3 linked regions of the Macaca fascicularis genome follow. The protein of the gene in region 1 binds, or shares a complex with, the protein of each later gene. Links are inferred from orthologs where the notes say so. Each region holds a gene or a part of one and is shown on either strand. Other genes may lie near its edges.

Region 1 (5,175 bases):
CCAAAATGCATTGATTTCATTCTTTGATGCAGCATGAAATACAAATAAGGTAAAGTCCCAAAGAAGTGGTCTGTTTAAATGAAAAATGTTAAAACAGAATTAGAAGTTAACTGTGTACATACTTTAATTTCAACTGCTTTTTTATATCTAAAATATTTGAGATATAATGGCTTTTTAAAGTAATGCTTCTGTTTCTTTTGCCAAGTTGAACTTTCTAAAAGAGTTTTTATTTTTAAAACACAAATAGAATGATTTAAATAGGATTTTAATGAATTTTTGATAAGTGGCTGTTTTAATTTTTAAATTGAGAAGTAATATGTGGAAAATGAAAATATATGCAAATGTATTACAAGGTACATAAACACATAAATATATAAACTGCTTTATAGGTTTCAAAATGTATTTTTATATATTACCTTATTTGATCTTAACAACTGTTGTATAAGTTTGTCAAATCATATAAGAAAACTGATTCTCAGTGAAATTTTGCGATTAAGAGGACATGCTAGTACTTTATAAAGCTGGGACCAGAACCCAAGTACTGGTACTTGCTTTGTGTCCTGGTTACTATGTATGTTGCCAGCTAGTGGAAGTAACCTACCAATTATTTTTTCTAGGAGATAGGATTGATTTGCAACTGATTTTCCTTTTGCTTGGTGATGTTTTATGACTCTGCTGCAGTTTGTGGAAATGCTGGACTTGGCTCAGTGCTATAAATTGTAGTCAGGGAAATAAGAGCTTACACAGAGTCGGGGGATCTTAACTAGACATGCTGTAACCAGTGGAGCTATTCAAGCATGCTACAAGTGAAGAGTGCAGAAATAGTGATGCCATCTTAGATTTTCCTATACCAGTATGATCTCTTTTTATCATATATGACATTAAGGCTACAGAAGTTTTGTACATTAATCTTAATTCATATTTATTAATTTCAAAGAAATATTGAAACGTCTTAAAATGGCATAAAGATAATGGAAAATAAGCTTTGTTTCAAGAAGGGCAGACTCACTAATTTTTTAGAAAACAATGCTTCTTAATGATATGCTATTATACTTACTAGGTACGTGCAAGCTTTGTATATAAATATTAAAATTTGTTACAGGCACATATATAGTTAAGAGAATTTTATTTTAATAAGATCATATTGTTTTTACTATATTTAAAGAAACTTTACTTCTGAAAGGAACATAATTTATCTAGGTCACTAGAATGTCATTGTATTTTTTGTTGGCTGCCACAGCTTGGGGAAAAATAGATAAAAATTAATGACTCTATTTGAATATTTTGTAATGCATTGTATATTTATTATATATATATCAACAGTAGTTCAAGGTGGCACTTAATTGCATCTTCATTAGGAAAAATAAAAAGCATAAAACACAATTTCTGGTTACTATGAATAAATGCCTAAATGTTAAGATATTACTACAGTCTGACACTTGAGTACTGTATTACTTACTATGTGAGCTCCGTGTTAATTTATGCACATTATTTAATCCTAATAACCGTTTGACTGTAGTTATTAGTCCCTATTAACAAATAAGAAAACGGAGAATCGGAGATACTGAAAAACGTGGTCCAGATTTTAGACCTTGGGAAAAAGTCACTTGAGCTAACTAGAGGTCCCAGAGCTAAAGGCTGGGCAGCCCAAATGATAGTCGCCAAAGTTTAATTCCGCTTAATTCCCTAAAAGGCTTAGAGTCAGCCTTTGGACCGCCTCGCTCTCTAGGTGGCTCAAAGTAATCGGAAGCTCGGGCCCTGAGTACCCCTAGCTCTCCCCGACCCGCGCAGGCGTTTTCTCCCGCCCCAGCCCCAGTTCGTTTCTCCCTCCTGCCCCGCCCCTGCTCAGAGTCCTTTGGTGCTTCCTTCATTCGCTTGCGACCCTGTCGCCTCGAATGACGTCAAGGCCGCGAGCGCTTTCATTGGTCCATTTCAATAGTCGCGGGATACTTGAACTGCAAGAACAGCCGCCGCTCCGGCGGGCTGCTCGCTACATCTCGGGGTGTCTTTGGCCCGCCACGCCCGGCCGTGCCTTCCTGCGCCTTTCGCAACCTCCTCGACCCTGCGTGGTCTCGAGCTGGGTGAGCGGGCGGGCGGGTAGGCTGGCCTGGGCTGCGACCGGCGGCTACGACTGTTCTTTGGCCGGGTGGGCTGGGCAGAGTGCACGCTGCTTGGCGCCGCAGGCTGATCCCGCCGTCCACTCCCGGGAGCAGTGATGTTGGGCAACTCCGCGCCGGGGCCTGCGACCCGCGAGGCGGGCTCAGCGCTACTAGCATTGCAGCAGACTGCGCTCCAAGAGGACCAGGAGAATATCAACCCGGAAAAGGCAGCGCCCGTCCAGCAACCGCGGACCCGGGCCGCGCTGGCGGTACTGAAGGCCGGGAACCCGCGGGGTCTAGCGCAGCAGCAGAGGCCGAAGACGCGACGGGTAAAGGGATGCGGGATGTCTGCAGGAGGGTGGGTCGAGCAGGGTTTGGCACTGGCTTAGCAGGCAGAGAAGAGTGGCGAGAAGGCATGTCCTGGGCTTTTGGAAGGGGGCCAGAGTCTGGAGTCCACTTGGTGCTGGTGTGTGGGATGCCACAATAGGAATTCTCCCATTATTAGCATCAGGACCCCGCCAACACTGTGTATGCTGCCTGTCTGCTCTCTATAGGTGGCATCTGCCTGTACATAATGGGGTCAAACCAAGCTCTAAAACGTGTAGTCTTCGCTCAGCTCCGCGCCTTTCTCTCCACTTTTAAACCCCAGGCACTACTGTAGGACTCTGACCCCCCTCCTCCTCATGGTTAAGAGATAACCTCTACTTTAGAAAAGGGTGTACGAAATAACTTTGCTTTTGGCAAATTCCGCCATTTTAGCCGGATTTGCTCTGTTGCTCCACCCTCGGGCGACAGTGGTGAACCAACACTTTTTTGCCATGTCTTTCCTAAACTTGTCATGTATTGACTTGCCACCCGACCCTTCTTGTGGCCCTGATTAGTTTTGCATAATTCCACCTAGTGTTATCTATTGATAGCCTTTGTGGGAATGCCTGTGACAAATGGGAACATCCCTTCTCTTTTGAATACTCAAACTATTGTTTGTCCCAGAAAGTTTAATTCCTGATAGAGTATTTGGGAGAAAAAGCAAAGGCCAACACCCATAAGAGAAAGAATGCAAAACTATTTAGTAGGCTCAAAGCCAGTTATTTATTTTTGTTTAGGTTGCACCCCTTAAGGATCTTCCTGTAAATGATGAGCATGTCACCGTTCCTCCTTGGAAAGCAAACAGTAAACAGCCTGCGTTCACCATTCATGTGGATGAAGCAGAAAAAGAGACTCAGAAGAAGCCAGCTGAATCTCAAAAAACGGAGCGTGAAGATGCCCTGGCTTTTAATTCAGCCATTAGTTTACCTGGACCCAGAAAACCATTGGTCCCTCTTGATTATCCAATGGATGGTAGTTTTGGTAAGTTTTAAGGAAAATCTATATGAATTTACGGTAATTATAATTATTAGATATTAATGATTTGCATTTTAAGATGTCTTATGTAGTCATTTTGATTACAGTGAGTTAGGTTTAATGTAACAAGGCTTAGAAAGGATGTGACTTATCTCAGATCTCACAGCTAACACTCGACCTGGTGATGTACAAAAGGATCCTAACCTAGTGCTCTTTCAGGTTCACTGCCAGTCACATCAGTCTAATTATAATTAGATCTTAAATGCTTATTTTAATCTGATCCCATAAATGTGTTCTTGGTTGGGAGAATAGATTTCAGTTTTATTTAACTCACTTATATATCACTTAGAGAGTGCTATTTGAAGATGCAGTCTTAAATATTGTGATTACATAACATCTCTTCCAGTTTTATAATTTTGTTTCTATAAAACCAGTCTGGATTATCATCTGATACCAGAAGGTGACACTTTTCCTCCTACAAGTAAACAGTTGTACCATGGCTGTTTACTCTTACCCATGTATTAAAGTAGCTGCTGCAAACAGCTCTTTGCAGTTTGTACTGTTTCTTTGCCCTAGGGATATCGAGTCACTGGACAGCTCACTAAATCCAGTCTCATTTTAGTTTTAGTTGTATAGATCGTGGGGAAGGAGGGGTGAGCAGGAAAAGTCCTTTGGAAATAATAATTTGTGTGTTTTTATCAAAATTTTGCAGAAAATGTTTAATCTCAAGGTGATCTTTGAAGCGAAAAGAATAATGGATGATACTCTTTGCTTCAAAAGATAATTTATACTACAAAAAATAAATTTATAGTGTTAATCCATTTGCCCATAACAAACCTAATTTCTTAATAACACTTGTTAATGGAGGCCATTTAACTGATTCTAGCTATCGCCTAATTGGGCTTTGTATATGTCAGACTCTGGGATCTGCAGTCTCTCTTAGGGCAAATCTTAGATATTATCTCAAAACTTGGATTTTAAATGTTCTGTCCTAACAGAACCACCATGCCATCTGCTCCTTTCTGTTGTGGAAGATGGATACTTTAAGATAATACCTGATTCTCGTTTTCCTGTTAGGGGCCTACTAATATGGTTTTCTTTCCCCCTTCATTAACTAAAATCATTCCAAAGCTATATGTACAGAGATACTGAGACTAAGGTAAAATATTCTACCTTTTTCGTCATGAGAAGCTCTTTTTAGTTTGATGAAATAAGTGCTTTGTTAATATGAAATTCCTTACAAGGGCAGTCATTTTTAGCTATTAAACTAAGTAGACAAACAATTAATTTAATCATATCTTTTTAATTGTCCCAGAGTCACCACATACTATGGACATGTCAATTGTATTAGAAGATGAAAAGCCAGTGAGTGTTAATGAAGTACCAGACTACCATGAGGATATTCACACATACCTTAGGGAAATGGAGGTAAAGGTTCTCTGAATCCAGTTTGTGTAATGTATTTGTTAAATGTGGCTAAATGAAATTGAGAGGATAATGTTTAAATTTTTAAACTAATGAATTATTCTAATGCTACAGTTAAGTTTATAGCATGTAGCCTCTCTTAATTGTAAAATAACCTAATTGCAATTTTAACACTACTAAATACTTTTCTCAATAGGTTAAATGTAAACCTAAAGTGGGTTACATGAAGAAACAGCCAGACATCACTAACAGTATGAGAGCTATCCTCGTGGACTGGTTAGTTGAAGTAGGAGAAGAATATAAACTACAG
Region 2 (5,133 bases), on another chromosome or scaffold:
GGCTTGAACCCAGGAGGTGGAGCACTCCAGCATGAGTGACAGAATGAGATTCTGTCTCAGAAGAAGAAGAAAAAAAGCTTCCATTGTGTGGTAACTTTCTCCATTCCTGACAGCCCATTCTCTTCACTTTTGGAGTTTTCAGCTGCTAAAAAGCCTTCACAAAATGTACTCCACCATCTCTTCCTGTTTAGAATCTGAATCTGTCTAATCATCCCCCTATGATAACGTGGTCAAGAGTTTGATGTTCTGTCAGAGTTCAGAGTTAAAATTCTAGCTTTTCCACTTACTAGTTGTGTGACCTTGGGCAAGTTTTCTCAACTCCCCTCTACTGTAGTTCCCTCATTTGTAAAATGAAATAACACCAGCTTCGTGGGGGTGCTTGTGAAGATTAATAAGCTGATGTAGGTAAAATACTGAGCACAGTCCCTGGCATACACTTAAGCACTCAATATTGCCTCTCTTCATGAACTAGGTACCAATTAACTGATGATCGTAATATTGTTGCTTTCCTCTTTCTAGGCTTTATGGCTCTATTTTATTTGTTACTGAGAGGTAAAAGATAAATGTTTACCATCACCTAGAATTGGGTTCTGGCCTCGAAAGGAGCCTGAGGCTTAGATGAGTTATTGGCTTTGGAAGCTGGCCTCCAAATTACTGCGCTAATTTATATTTTTCATTAAAAACTCAGCTTGCCTCTTCTATATAGCTGTCTTCCCTGGCCCTGAAACCCTGGTGTTTCGCCATAAAAGATTTTAAAATTAAGGGGTCATGATTCTCTCCCCACGATGTGTGGATTAATGGTAAGAATGTGCACAGAACATAATATTCTTACGTTGAACGAAATAAAAGCAAAGATTTGGCTGTTTCTCATCTTTGAAGCACGAATCAAGAGATACTATGATGAAGCATAGTTTTTCTTTATATAGGTGTGTAGAACTTTACCAAAAAAATCACTAGTTCAGCCATCAGTAGATCTGGATCCTAGGCTTTTCGCTGTCACCAAGATGCTGTGACCTCTAACCTTGTATACAGGTTTGCTTTGTACCTTGCGAGGTTGAGCATTAGAGAATTAAGTAAAGTGCCTAGCATCATACCTGGTGCACAGAACCCAAAACGGTAGGTATCATGTAGCAGTTCTGAAAATCTAGCCCATCAGGATGATGCAAATGGGTGCGTTCGGCAGTGAGATGGGGAACCACATCTTGACACATCCAGTCGAAGGAAGAGCGCGGAAGTAGAGTCGCGCGGCAGCAAAGACTACGCCTCCCACCGTGCTTTGCGGCGGGGCCGGCCCGTCTTGCCCAGAATCGCCCTGCAGCGATCGCGCGTCTTTCCACCGAGGCCCCGGATGTAGAGTCCCTCCCACCCGTTCAGTGGTCATGGCCTCACAGTGACGCTAAGACTTGGGGCTCTCTCATTGGCTGTAACTCTTCTACTGGATTGGAAGCAAAAAAAGAGGCGGTGCACAAGGCGAACGGCGCCTGTGACTACAGCCAATCAGAAGCGAGGCCGGGCTTTGGCGGGAGGTGGGAACACTGTGGCCATTCGAATTTGGCGCGAGCGCGGCTGTATTTTGCTGCTGCCGGTGTGCAGTTTGTTCAGGGGCTTGTGGTGGTGAGTCCCTGAGCCTGCGTGTGAGAGACTTGAGAAGGATCCTGCACTGAGGAGGTGGGAAGGAGAGGATTGCTCGAGGAGGCCTGGGGTTTGTGAGGCAGCGGAGTTGCGTGAAGGCTGCGGGTTCCGGCGAGGCCCGAGGTAAAGTGAAGGTAAAAGAGCTGAGCTCGCTGGCGGTCTGAGGTCAGGATCAGGGAAAGGGCAGGTGCCCTCAGGGTAGTTATAGCAGTTGTGCGTGGTATGAAGGAGCTGAAAGTTGTAGGAAGGAAATATTCTGGGGTGCGTTGAGAGCTGCCTAGAATGAGGACTGAGTGCAGAGGCGGAGAGAACTGAGGGAAGACTGAACTGTAGTGTGAGGACTTGGGAGAGAAGAGACTAAATGTGGCGGATGCTGGGCTGAACTGGTGATAAAGACACCCCGCGTTCCTGGAGAGAGGGAATTAGAAGTTCTATATAAATCAATTCATGTAACTGTTTTTTTTTTTTTTTTTTTTTTTTTGAGACGGAGTCTCGCGCTGTCACCCAGGCTGGAGTGCAGTGGCCGGATCTCAGCTCACTGCAAGCTCCGCCTCCCGGGTTCACGCCATTCTCCTGCCTCAGCCTCCCTAGTAGCTGGGACTACAGGCGTCCGCCACCTCGCCCGGCTAGTTTTTTGTATTTTTTTTTTTAGTAGAGACGGGGTTTCACCATGTTAACCAGGATGGTCTCGATCTCCTGACCTCGTGATCCGCCCGTCTCGGCCTCCCAAAGTGCTGGGATTACAGGCTTGAGCCACCGCGCCCGGCCTGTTTTGTTTTTTTGAGACGGGGTCTCCCTCTCGTCGCCCAGGCTGGAATGCAGTGGCGCGATCTCCGCTCACTGACTGCAACCGCTCACTGACTGCAACCTCCGCCTCCCGGGTTCAAGCGATACTCCTGCCTCAGCCTCTCGAATAGCTGATACTAGAGGCGCCCGCCACCACGCCCGGCTAATTTTTTTTTTTGAGACGGAGTCTCGCCCTGTCGCCCAGGCTGGAGTGCAGTGGCACGATCTCGGCTCACTGCAAGCTCTGCCTCCTGGGTTCACGCCATTCTCCTGCCTCAGCCTCCCGAGTAGCTGGTACTACAGGCGCCCGCCACCACGCCCGGCTAATTTTTTGCATTTTTAGTAGAGAAGGGATTTCACCGTGTTAGCCAGGATGGTCTCGATCTCCTGACCTCGTGATCCACCCGCCTCGGCCTCCCAAAGTGCTGGGATTACAGGCGTGAGCCACCGCAGCCAGCCGTAATTTTTGTATTTTTACTAGAGACGGGGTTTCACCATGTTGGCCAGGCTGGTCTCGCTCGAACTCCTGACCTCAGGTGATTCGCCCGCCTCGGCCTCCCAAAGTGCTGGGATTACAGGCGTGAGCCACCACGCCCGGCCTATTTCAGGTAACTTCTTATTGCATCGCTCAGTTGGTTAAGAACTTGGGCTCTGGCGCCAGAATGCCTGGGGTTACATACCTGTTTTTCTGTGACTTTGGGCCACTGTTTATCTCAGTTTTCTCATGTGTAAAATAAAGGCTAATAGTAGTACCTACCTCTTTAAGATAGTTGTTAAACGAATTGGTACCTAAAGTGTTTATAACAGCGGCTTCCACGTAGTAGGTAGACAACAAATGTCAGTTGTTCTTGCATAGATTTGGATGTGAAGCAAAACTGAATGCTAAAATATTGTGATAACATAATTTACTTAAGAAATAAGTGTTAATCATCAGTATAAATTTATTTATTCTCTTCACTTTCACATATTGACTAGTTGTCCTGTTATTTTTTTTTAATCTAGCTGTGCTGCCATCATGCCTCAAACCCGATCCCAGGCACAGGCTACAATCAGTTTTCCAAAAAAGAAGCTGTCTCGGGCATTGAACAAAACTAAAAACTCAAGTGATGCCAAACCAGAACCGACAAATGTTCAAGCTGTAACCTGTTCTCCTCGTGTAAAAGCCCTGCCTCTCAGCCCCAGGAAACGTCTGGGTAAACCATCCATTATATCACTTTTTCACTAGCAGCTCGTGACCTTTCTTTTCTCAGTAAGATGTGTGTCCTTTGAAGGAGCTTTCTAAGTTCAGTTAAGACTTTTTTTTTTCTTTTTTTGAGACAGTCTTGCTCCATCTCCCATCCTGGAGTGCAATGGTGCGATCTCAGCTCCCTGCAACCTCTGCCTCCCAGGTTCAAGCGATTCTCCTGCCTCAGCCTCCCAAGTAGCTGGGATTACAGGCGCCCACCACCACGCCTGGCTAATTTTTTTTTTTTTTAGTAGAGACAGGGTTTCGCTATGTTGGCCAATCTGGTCTCTGACCTCCTGATCTCAGGTGATCCACCTGCCTCGGAGTGCTGGGATTACAGGCGTGAGCTACCGCTCCTGACCCTAAGACTACTCTTCATTTTAGTTATTTTCAGAATGGTTGCTAAGTGCTTACCAAACTCCAGAGTTAAGCCACTTACTGAGGTCACTTTCTGAACTACTTAATAGGTCTGATCTTCAATTCCTTAATACTGAACTTAGTTCTGTCAGTGTTTTAAGTTACCTTGTAGTTACACGGTATTATGAAATTTAACCTCAATATTTGTGAAATTAAAACAAAAAGGTGACATGCTGGATATTTTCCGTCCTTTAGAACAGTGGTTGGTAATTCTTTCTTGTTTTGGAACATTTGTTTTTAAATGGAGGGGTGATTTGGTTGTTTCTGGAGACAAGTTTGGTTGTTACAGCTGGGTGTTGCTACTGGCATAGTGGGTAGAGGCCAGGGATGCTGCTAAACATTACAATGCACAGGACAGCTCCTTGACAATGAAGAATCATTTGGTTCAAGATGTCAGTGGTGCCAACATTGAGAAAACCTGTTTCAAAACAGCCTTACAATTTCATCCTGGTAAAACCCGTTTGGTTTCTACTAAATGCAGTAGTCCTCACTTATCTATGGGGGATACATTCCAAGACCCCCAGTGGATGCCTGCAATTGAGGATAGTACCAAACCCTACGTATACTGTGTTTTTGATCTGATAACCAAGTCAGCTACTAAGTGACTAGTGGGTAGATAGCATATACAGTGTGGATATGCTGGCTGAAGGGATGATTCATGTCTCTGGTAGGATGGTGTGGGATTTCATCATGGTACTAAACTGCATGCAATTTAAAACTTGTCAATTGTTTATTTCTGGAATTTTCCATTTAGTATTTTCAGACTGAGGGTAACTAGAACGGTGGATAAGGGCACTACTGTAGTAAGATCAGTGGTGCCATCTGGTGGCCAATATTTGCTGCTAAGTGAGAAGGCATTTTATGTTGGTGGTTCTAAGGTAGAAATTCACCTCTTTCTGGGAGAGGCAGAGGTCTTGCACATCCTTTTACTATCCAATGCTATGACTGACTACATTTTGATTTTATTATGTTTCAGGTGATGACAACCTATGCAACACTCCCCATTTACCTCCTTGTTCTCCACCAAAGCAAGGCAAGAAAGAGAATGGTCCCCCTCACTCACGTACACTTAA
Region 3 (5,258 bases), on another chromosome or scaffold:
GAAAATGAACCAACTTGAGTGTTACGAGACCTGCATCTAGTCCTGACTCTGGTACCAACCGAATGTATGTCCCTGGACAGGAAACCTCTCTGAGTCTCAATGTCCTCCGTGGTAAAGAGGAGAGGGTTAAACCACAGGGTCCCGAAGGTCCCTTCCAGCTGTCACATTCTGGAGTGTATGAGATGAGGTAGGCACACAAAGTGGACAAACAAGATGTGGCTAAGAAAACAAGCGACACATGAAGTTCATCTGTAGCATAGGTGCATAAGAAAACTTTGCTGCTGTTTAAGGTTAGAAAGGAAGGTTGGTTTCCAGTAAAATGCATTAACTTTGGCTCAAACCAAGATGATGGGTAGTGGGCATGGGGGTGGGGAGGCAGTTGAAGATCCACTGAGCTCTTGGGGCAGCCCTGCTCATCGTCCTACTTTACCTTCCACCACGGTGCTCAAGCCCACACTGAGAGAGAAATTTCCAGTTGCAAAAGGGAGAAGAGAAACGCTGGAATACTAGCATCGGACGTTAGGACATAGATGTGGTGGTTTTAAAAATCATTTCATCATCTGGAGTTTGACCCCGAGGGGAGTCTTTTCACTCTTCAGCCCTCTGAAAGCATTCACTAGCATCTGAATATTGTTCTGAGTTTGTTGGAGCAGTGAAATCTGGTGAGAGAGAAGGGTGGAGGAAGGAAGGAGCTGTTGTATTTGGCGGCTGGAGTCAGGTAGAGGAAACTGCTACAATCCCGGGAAAGAACAGAAAAGTAGAAAGAGAGGAGTTCCCACACGCAGCCAATGTCCATGGCCTTAACTGTGCTTGGGAAACAAGATCCTGGGCCAGGGGCGTACCCTCGTTTTTCAAAACTAAATGTGTCTGAGACAGCTACAAAGTGTATTAAGGGACTTGAGAGACTACTTGAGTTTTTTTTTAATCTTGAGTTCCTTTCTTATTTTCATTGAGGGAGAGCTTGAGTTCATGATAAGTGCCGCGTCTACTCCTGGCTAATTTCTGAAAGAAAGACGTTCGCCTTGGCTTCTTTCCTAGGCCCCCAGCCTCCCCAGGGATGGCACAAACTTCTGGGTTAAGGCTGAGCCAACCATTGCCCACCGCCTCCACCCACCCCCAGCTAAGGCACGCCGGCAGGGGGGGCGCCCAGCCCCCCAGCAAACGCTCCGCGGCCTCCCCCGCAGACCGCGAGGTGGGGGCCATCGGGGAGGGCCGAGCTGGGGGCAGCTCGCCACCCCGGCTCCAAGCGAGCTGCCGGCGATCTTCGCGGTCCTCTGGTCCAGGCCCCGGCTTCCCCCGCGAGGAGCGGGAGGGAGGTCGGGGCTTAGGCGCCTTTGCGCACCCGCCAGTGCAGCGCCGGGCCCCGAACCCCAGGCCCCGCCCCAGGTTCCCGGCCGTTTGGCTAGTTTGTTTGTCTTAATTTTAATTTCTCCGAGGCCAGCCAGAGCAGGTTTGTTGGCAGCACTACCCCTCCAGCAGTCACGCGACCAGCCAATCTCCCGGCGGCGCTCGGGGAGGCGGCGCGCTCGGGAACGCGGGGAGGCGGCGGAACCGAGCCGGGGCCACCTTAAGGCCGCGCTCGCCAGCCTCGGCGGGGCGGCTCCCGGCGCCGCAACCAATGGATCTCCTCCTCTGTTTAAATAGACTCGCCGTGTCAATCATTTTCTTCTTCGTCAGCCTCCCTTCCACCGCCATATTGGGCCACTAAAAAAAGGGGGCTCGTCTTTTCGGGGTGTTTTTCTCCCCCTCCCCTGTCCCCGCTTGCTCACGGTTCCGCGACTCCGACGCCGGCAAGGTTTGGAGAGCGGCTGGGTTTGCGGGACCTGCGGGCTTGTACCCGCCCGGACTCGGACGGGCTTTGCCACCCTCTCCGCTTGCCTGGACCCCTCCCCTCCCCGCCCTCTCGCTCGCCGGTCCATTTGATCAGCGGAGATTCTCGGCGGCCGTGCCGGGGCTTCCCCGCAGCCCCTGCGCGCTCCTAGAGTTCGGGCCGTGGCTTGTCCGGATCTGTGTCTTTTGGCTCCGAGGCCAGTCGCTGGGCTTCCGAGAGGGGTTCGGGCTGCGTAGGGGCGTTTTGTTTTGTTCGGTTTTGTTTTGTTTTGTTTTTTTGAGAGTGCGAGAGAGGCGGTCGTGCAGACCCGGGAGAAAGATGTCAAACGTGCGAGTGTCTAACGGGAGCCCTAGCCTAGAGCGGATGGACGCCAGGCAGGCGGAGCACCCCAAGCCTTCGGCCTGCAGGAACCTCTTCGGCCCGGTGGACCACGAAGAGTTAACCCGGGACTTGGAGAAGCACTGCAGAGACATGGAAGAAGCGAGCCAGCGCAAGTGGAATTTCGATTTTCAGAATCACAGACCCCTAGAGGGCAAGTACGAGTGGCAAGAGGTGGAGAAGGGCAGCTTGCCTGAGTTCTACTATAGACCCCCGCGGGCCCCCAAAGGCGCCTGCAAGGTGCCGGCGCAGGAGAGCCAGGATGTCAGCGGGAGCCGCCCGGCGGCGCCTTTAATTGGGGCTCCGGCTAACCCTGAGGACACGCATTTGGTAGACCCAAAGACTGATCCGTCGGACAGCCAGACCGGGTTAGCGGAGCAGTGCGCAGGAATAAGGAAGCGACCTGCAACCGACGGTAATGACCCCTTCCCAACCGACGGTAATGACCCCTTCCCAACCACAGAAAGTCTGTGTCTGGGGCCCCGCTTTGCCTGCTGGAGGGTGCTAACCTTAGCTTGCTTTTCGGCGTATTCTGATGTAGCTTTGGGAGAGCGAACTTTATTGGTCTTAGGTGTTCAGTGCTACCTGGCCCACTGCTTGTCTGTGACTTTTAAGTCAGAAACTGGAAATGGTAAGATCCGATAATTTCCCTAACTTAAGACATGGCCGTCCCTCCCACTAGCAACCCCTAGGTATGTGACAAAGTTGGGATGTTTATCAACGGTCCGCCTCCTGGCTAGGGAGAGAGCTCTGGGGCGGAGAATGCACTTTCTTCTTTTTGAAAACAACCTCATTTTGTGTCCTTAAAGGCTACTGAGGATGACGGATCCTGGATTGTGGGTGGAGGGAGTGGGTTTTTCGTCCCGCGACTATTGGGCCAACTTCTGCCAGCCATTGTTTTTTCTAATAAAGATTGTGTGTTCTTTTTAAAAATTTCCTCTGCTCTTAGATTCTTCCACTCAAAACAAAAGAGCCAACAGAACAGAAGAAAATGTTTCAGACGGTTCCCCAAATGCCGGTTCTGTGGAGCAGACACCCAAGAAGCCTGGCCTCAGAAGACGTCAAACGTAAACAGCTAGGTGGGTTGATCACTAAAGGAGCACGTACTGAAACCCGGGGCCATCAGACCTCACGATACCTGATCTTGCTGGTTGCTGGCAGATTACAATCTTTTGGGGTTTTGTTTTGTTTATACTTTCGTGAGGTCAAAAAAGTAGCAATGGGAAGGTTGGGGATACTGTAATTCTTCTATGCCTAGAGATACTTTCTCTTGAAACAGTAGACCAGAGCAACTACTTGTAACCAAGGCCCCATCGGGTAAGAAGGTCATTTCCCTGTGAGTCCCACTAAAATATGTTGGGAACAATAGGTTCTTCGCCCATCCGAACAAGAACTGGGGTACTCCCTCAGTCCCACTTCATGAGAATTCATTTCCCAGAGGTTCAGCTTGAGTCAGTAACAGATTTTGAGCCATACATGGAAAAATGGCAAGTACATTATTAAGTTTCAATTTTAAGGGGGAATGTTTGGTAGAAATTGCTCACCTTTGGTTATGCAAGGGATTAGAGATGTCAGTGGGTGGTATGTTGTGTTCTTTGACATTGTCATAAACTGTCACTTTCCTTGTTTGCTCCTAAGTTTGGAGAGAGAAGGAACCAGTATTTGCAAAAACCAAAATGGAAAGATAAAAAACATTACTAAAGTTTCTACAGAATTTCTGGTAACACTGAAGTTGCAAAGCAGAAGTTAAATTAACTCTCGTCAGTAAGCAATCCAGGAACACGTCAGCCAGTGTATGCTAATTGTGCCGTAACAGGGTGATTTGGATATTTGTAGGGGAAATGGGTAGTAAATATCAAGACTGGTGACCGCAGGTCAGCCCAGCACAAAGGAAGTGGAGATTTTTCCATGCACAAGAATCTGATCACTGTAAATAGCTAATTTGAATAATTCAGTCCCCAAATGTACATGGATTGGCTATTCATAATGATCGAACTACATATATTAATAGTTTGTTAGCTTCTTATAGACCAAGACTGACCTCTTTATTTTCTAAAGCACACACGTAGCTTAGCATATGAGGCGATCTTAATATTGATGTTAACTTTTTAAATCCTCATTTATAAAAAATTTTAAAACAACAGGGATTACGGTGGGATTCAGGTGTGTTGTGTCTTTAAATTGTATATGTGACTTTACATATCTTATATTTTTCAGAGCTTATACAAAACGGCACTATAGAACCTCTATTTTATAGCACCATGTGAAGTGGGAAAATCAGGTGAAAATTTCCCTGAAGCAACCTTAACACACGCAGCCCTTGTTGGTTTGTGACTTGTGGCCCAGCTTATCAGATGAGCCATGAGAATCGGACCTGGATTTTGATCTGGCCCCCGTTTTGACATGCAGAGAGGCATTTATAGCATTTAGTAATATTGCTAGTTCAAAGAATACTAGAAATATTAGTAAGAACCTATTCAAAAGTATTCATGAGTATTTTCTGCATATGAATAAGAAATTAGAATATTTTGAAAATGATGTTAATAAAATTTTCTTCTGGAAGGCCCTTATGATTTTTATTTCTAATCATTTTTCAAATTTAGAAAATTTAATCTGTCACAGGAGTAGAGAAAAAAAATTCTAAATTTTTAAAAAATTTAGAAAATTTTTACTCTTAAGTATTACAGTTTCCTAATTTTCCTATTTATTTCCCACTTGTCTTTGACCTGGATTCTTTAGGGTTTCTCAACCTCTGCACTACTGACATTTTGGGCCGAATAATTCTTTGTTGTAGGAGGCTGTCCTGTGTGTTGTAGATTGTTTGGCATTATCCCTGGTCTTTCCCACTAGATGCCAGCAGCATCCTCCTCCCACAGTGTGACAACCTAAAATGTCTCCAGACATTGCCAAATGTTCCCTGGGGAGCGGGGGCAACATTGCCTACTGTTAAGAACCACTGCTCTAGACAAAAGAACACAGCACAGAAGAGAGGAAAAAAATCCAGTTAAGAGAATGTTAGGTGGAGATGACTGTAGTCATCAAACTTTTT

What was found.
Region 2: the proteins of CCNA2 (region 1) and CDC6 are in contact, whole or in part, in a crystal structure (PDB 2CCH), measured with the Homo sapiens proteins. The link is inferred for Macaca fascicularis from reciprocal best matches to the Homo sapiens genes CCNA2 and CDC6. Residues at the interface, in NP_001228.2 of Homo sapiens: Met210, Ile213, Leu214, Trp217, Glu220, Val221, Glu224, Tyr225, Arg250, Leu253, Gln254, Glu277, Tyr280, Ile281, Thr282, Asp283, Thr285; in NP_001245.1 of Homo sapiens: His89, Thr90, Leu91, Lys92, Gly93, Arg94, Arg95, Leu96, Val97, Phe98, Asp99, Asn100.
Region 3: the proteins of CCNA2 (region 1) and CDKN1B are in contact, whole or in part, in a crystal structure (PDB 1JSU), measured with the Homo sapiens proteins. The link is inferred for Macaca fascicularis from reciprocal best matches to the Homo sapiens genes CCNA2 and CDKN1B. Residues at the interface, in NP_001228.2 of Homo sapiens: Met210, Ile213, Leu214, Asp216, Trp217, Glu220, Val221, Glu224, Met246, Arg250, Gly251, Lys252, Leu253, Gln254, Leu255, Tyr280, Ile281, Thr282, Asp283, Thr285, Tyr286, Thr287, Gln290, Arg293, Met294, His296, Leu297, Lys300; in NP_004055.1 of Homo sapiens: Lys25, Pro26, Ser27, Ala28, Cys29, Arg30, Asn31, Leu32, Phe33, Gly34, Val36, His38, Leu41, Thr42, Asp44, Leu45, Glu46, His48, Cys49, Asp51.

What each region holds. Positions count from the first base shown.
Region 1 is NC_088379.1:126,897,328-126,902,502, reverse strand, and holds the start of CCNA2 (cyclin-A2), read left to right. Parts: upstream 1-1,977; 5' UTR 1,978-2,215; coding exon 2,216-2,428; intron 2,429-3,202; coding exon 3,203-3,446; intron 3,447-4,755; coding exon 4,756-4,868; intron 4,869-5,061; coding exon 5,062-5,175. Other genes in the region: BBSome complex member BBS7, read left to right, coding at 1-37. UniProt on the Homo sapiens protein: Cyclin which controls both the G1/S and the G2/M transition phases of the cell cycle. Functions through the formation of specific serine/threonine protein kinase holoenzyme complexes with the cyclin-dependent protein kinases CDK1 or CDK2.
Region 2 is NC_088390.1:61,372,110-61,377,242, forward strand, and holds the start of CDC6 (cell division control protein 6 homolog), read left to right. Parts: upstream 1-1,547; 5' UTR 1,548-1,766; intron 1,767-2,915; exon of another isoform or gene 2,916-3,026; intron 3,027-3,420; 5' UTR 3,421-3,433; coding exon 3,434-3,611; intron 3,612-5,036; coding exon 5,037-5,133. UniProt on the Homo sapiens protein: Involved in the initiation of DNA replication. Also participates in checkpoint controls that ensure DNA replication is completed before mitosis is initiated.
Region 3 is NC_088385.1:15,479,542-15,484,799, forward strand, and holds the start of CDKN1B (cyclin-dependent kinase inhibitor 1B), read left to right. Parts: upstream 1-1,672; 5' UTR 1,673-2,149; coding exon 2,150-2,648; intron 2,649-3,158; coding exon 3,159-3,280; 3' UTR 3,281-3,288; intron 3,289-5,258. UniProt on the Homo sapiens protein: Important regulator of cell cycle progression. Inhibits the kinase activity of CDK2 bound to cyclin A, but has little inhibitory activity on CDK2 bound to SPDYA. Involved in G1 arrest. Potent inhibitor of cyclin E- and cyclin A-CDK2 complexes.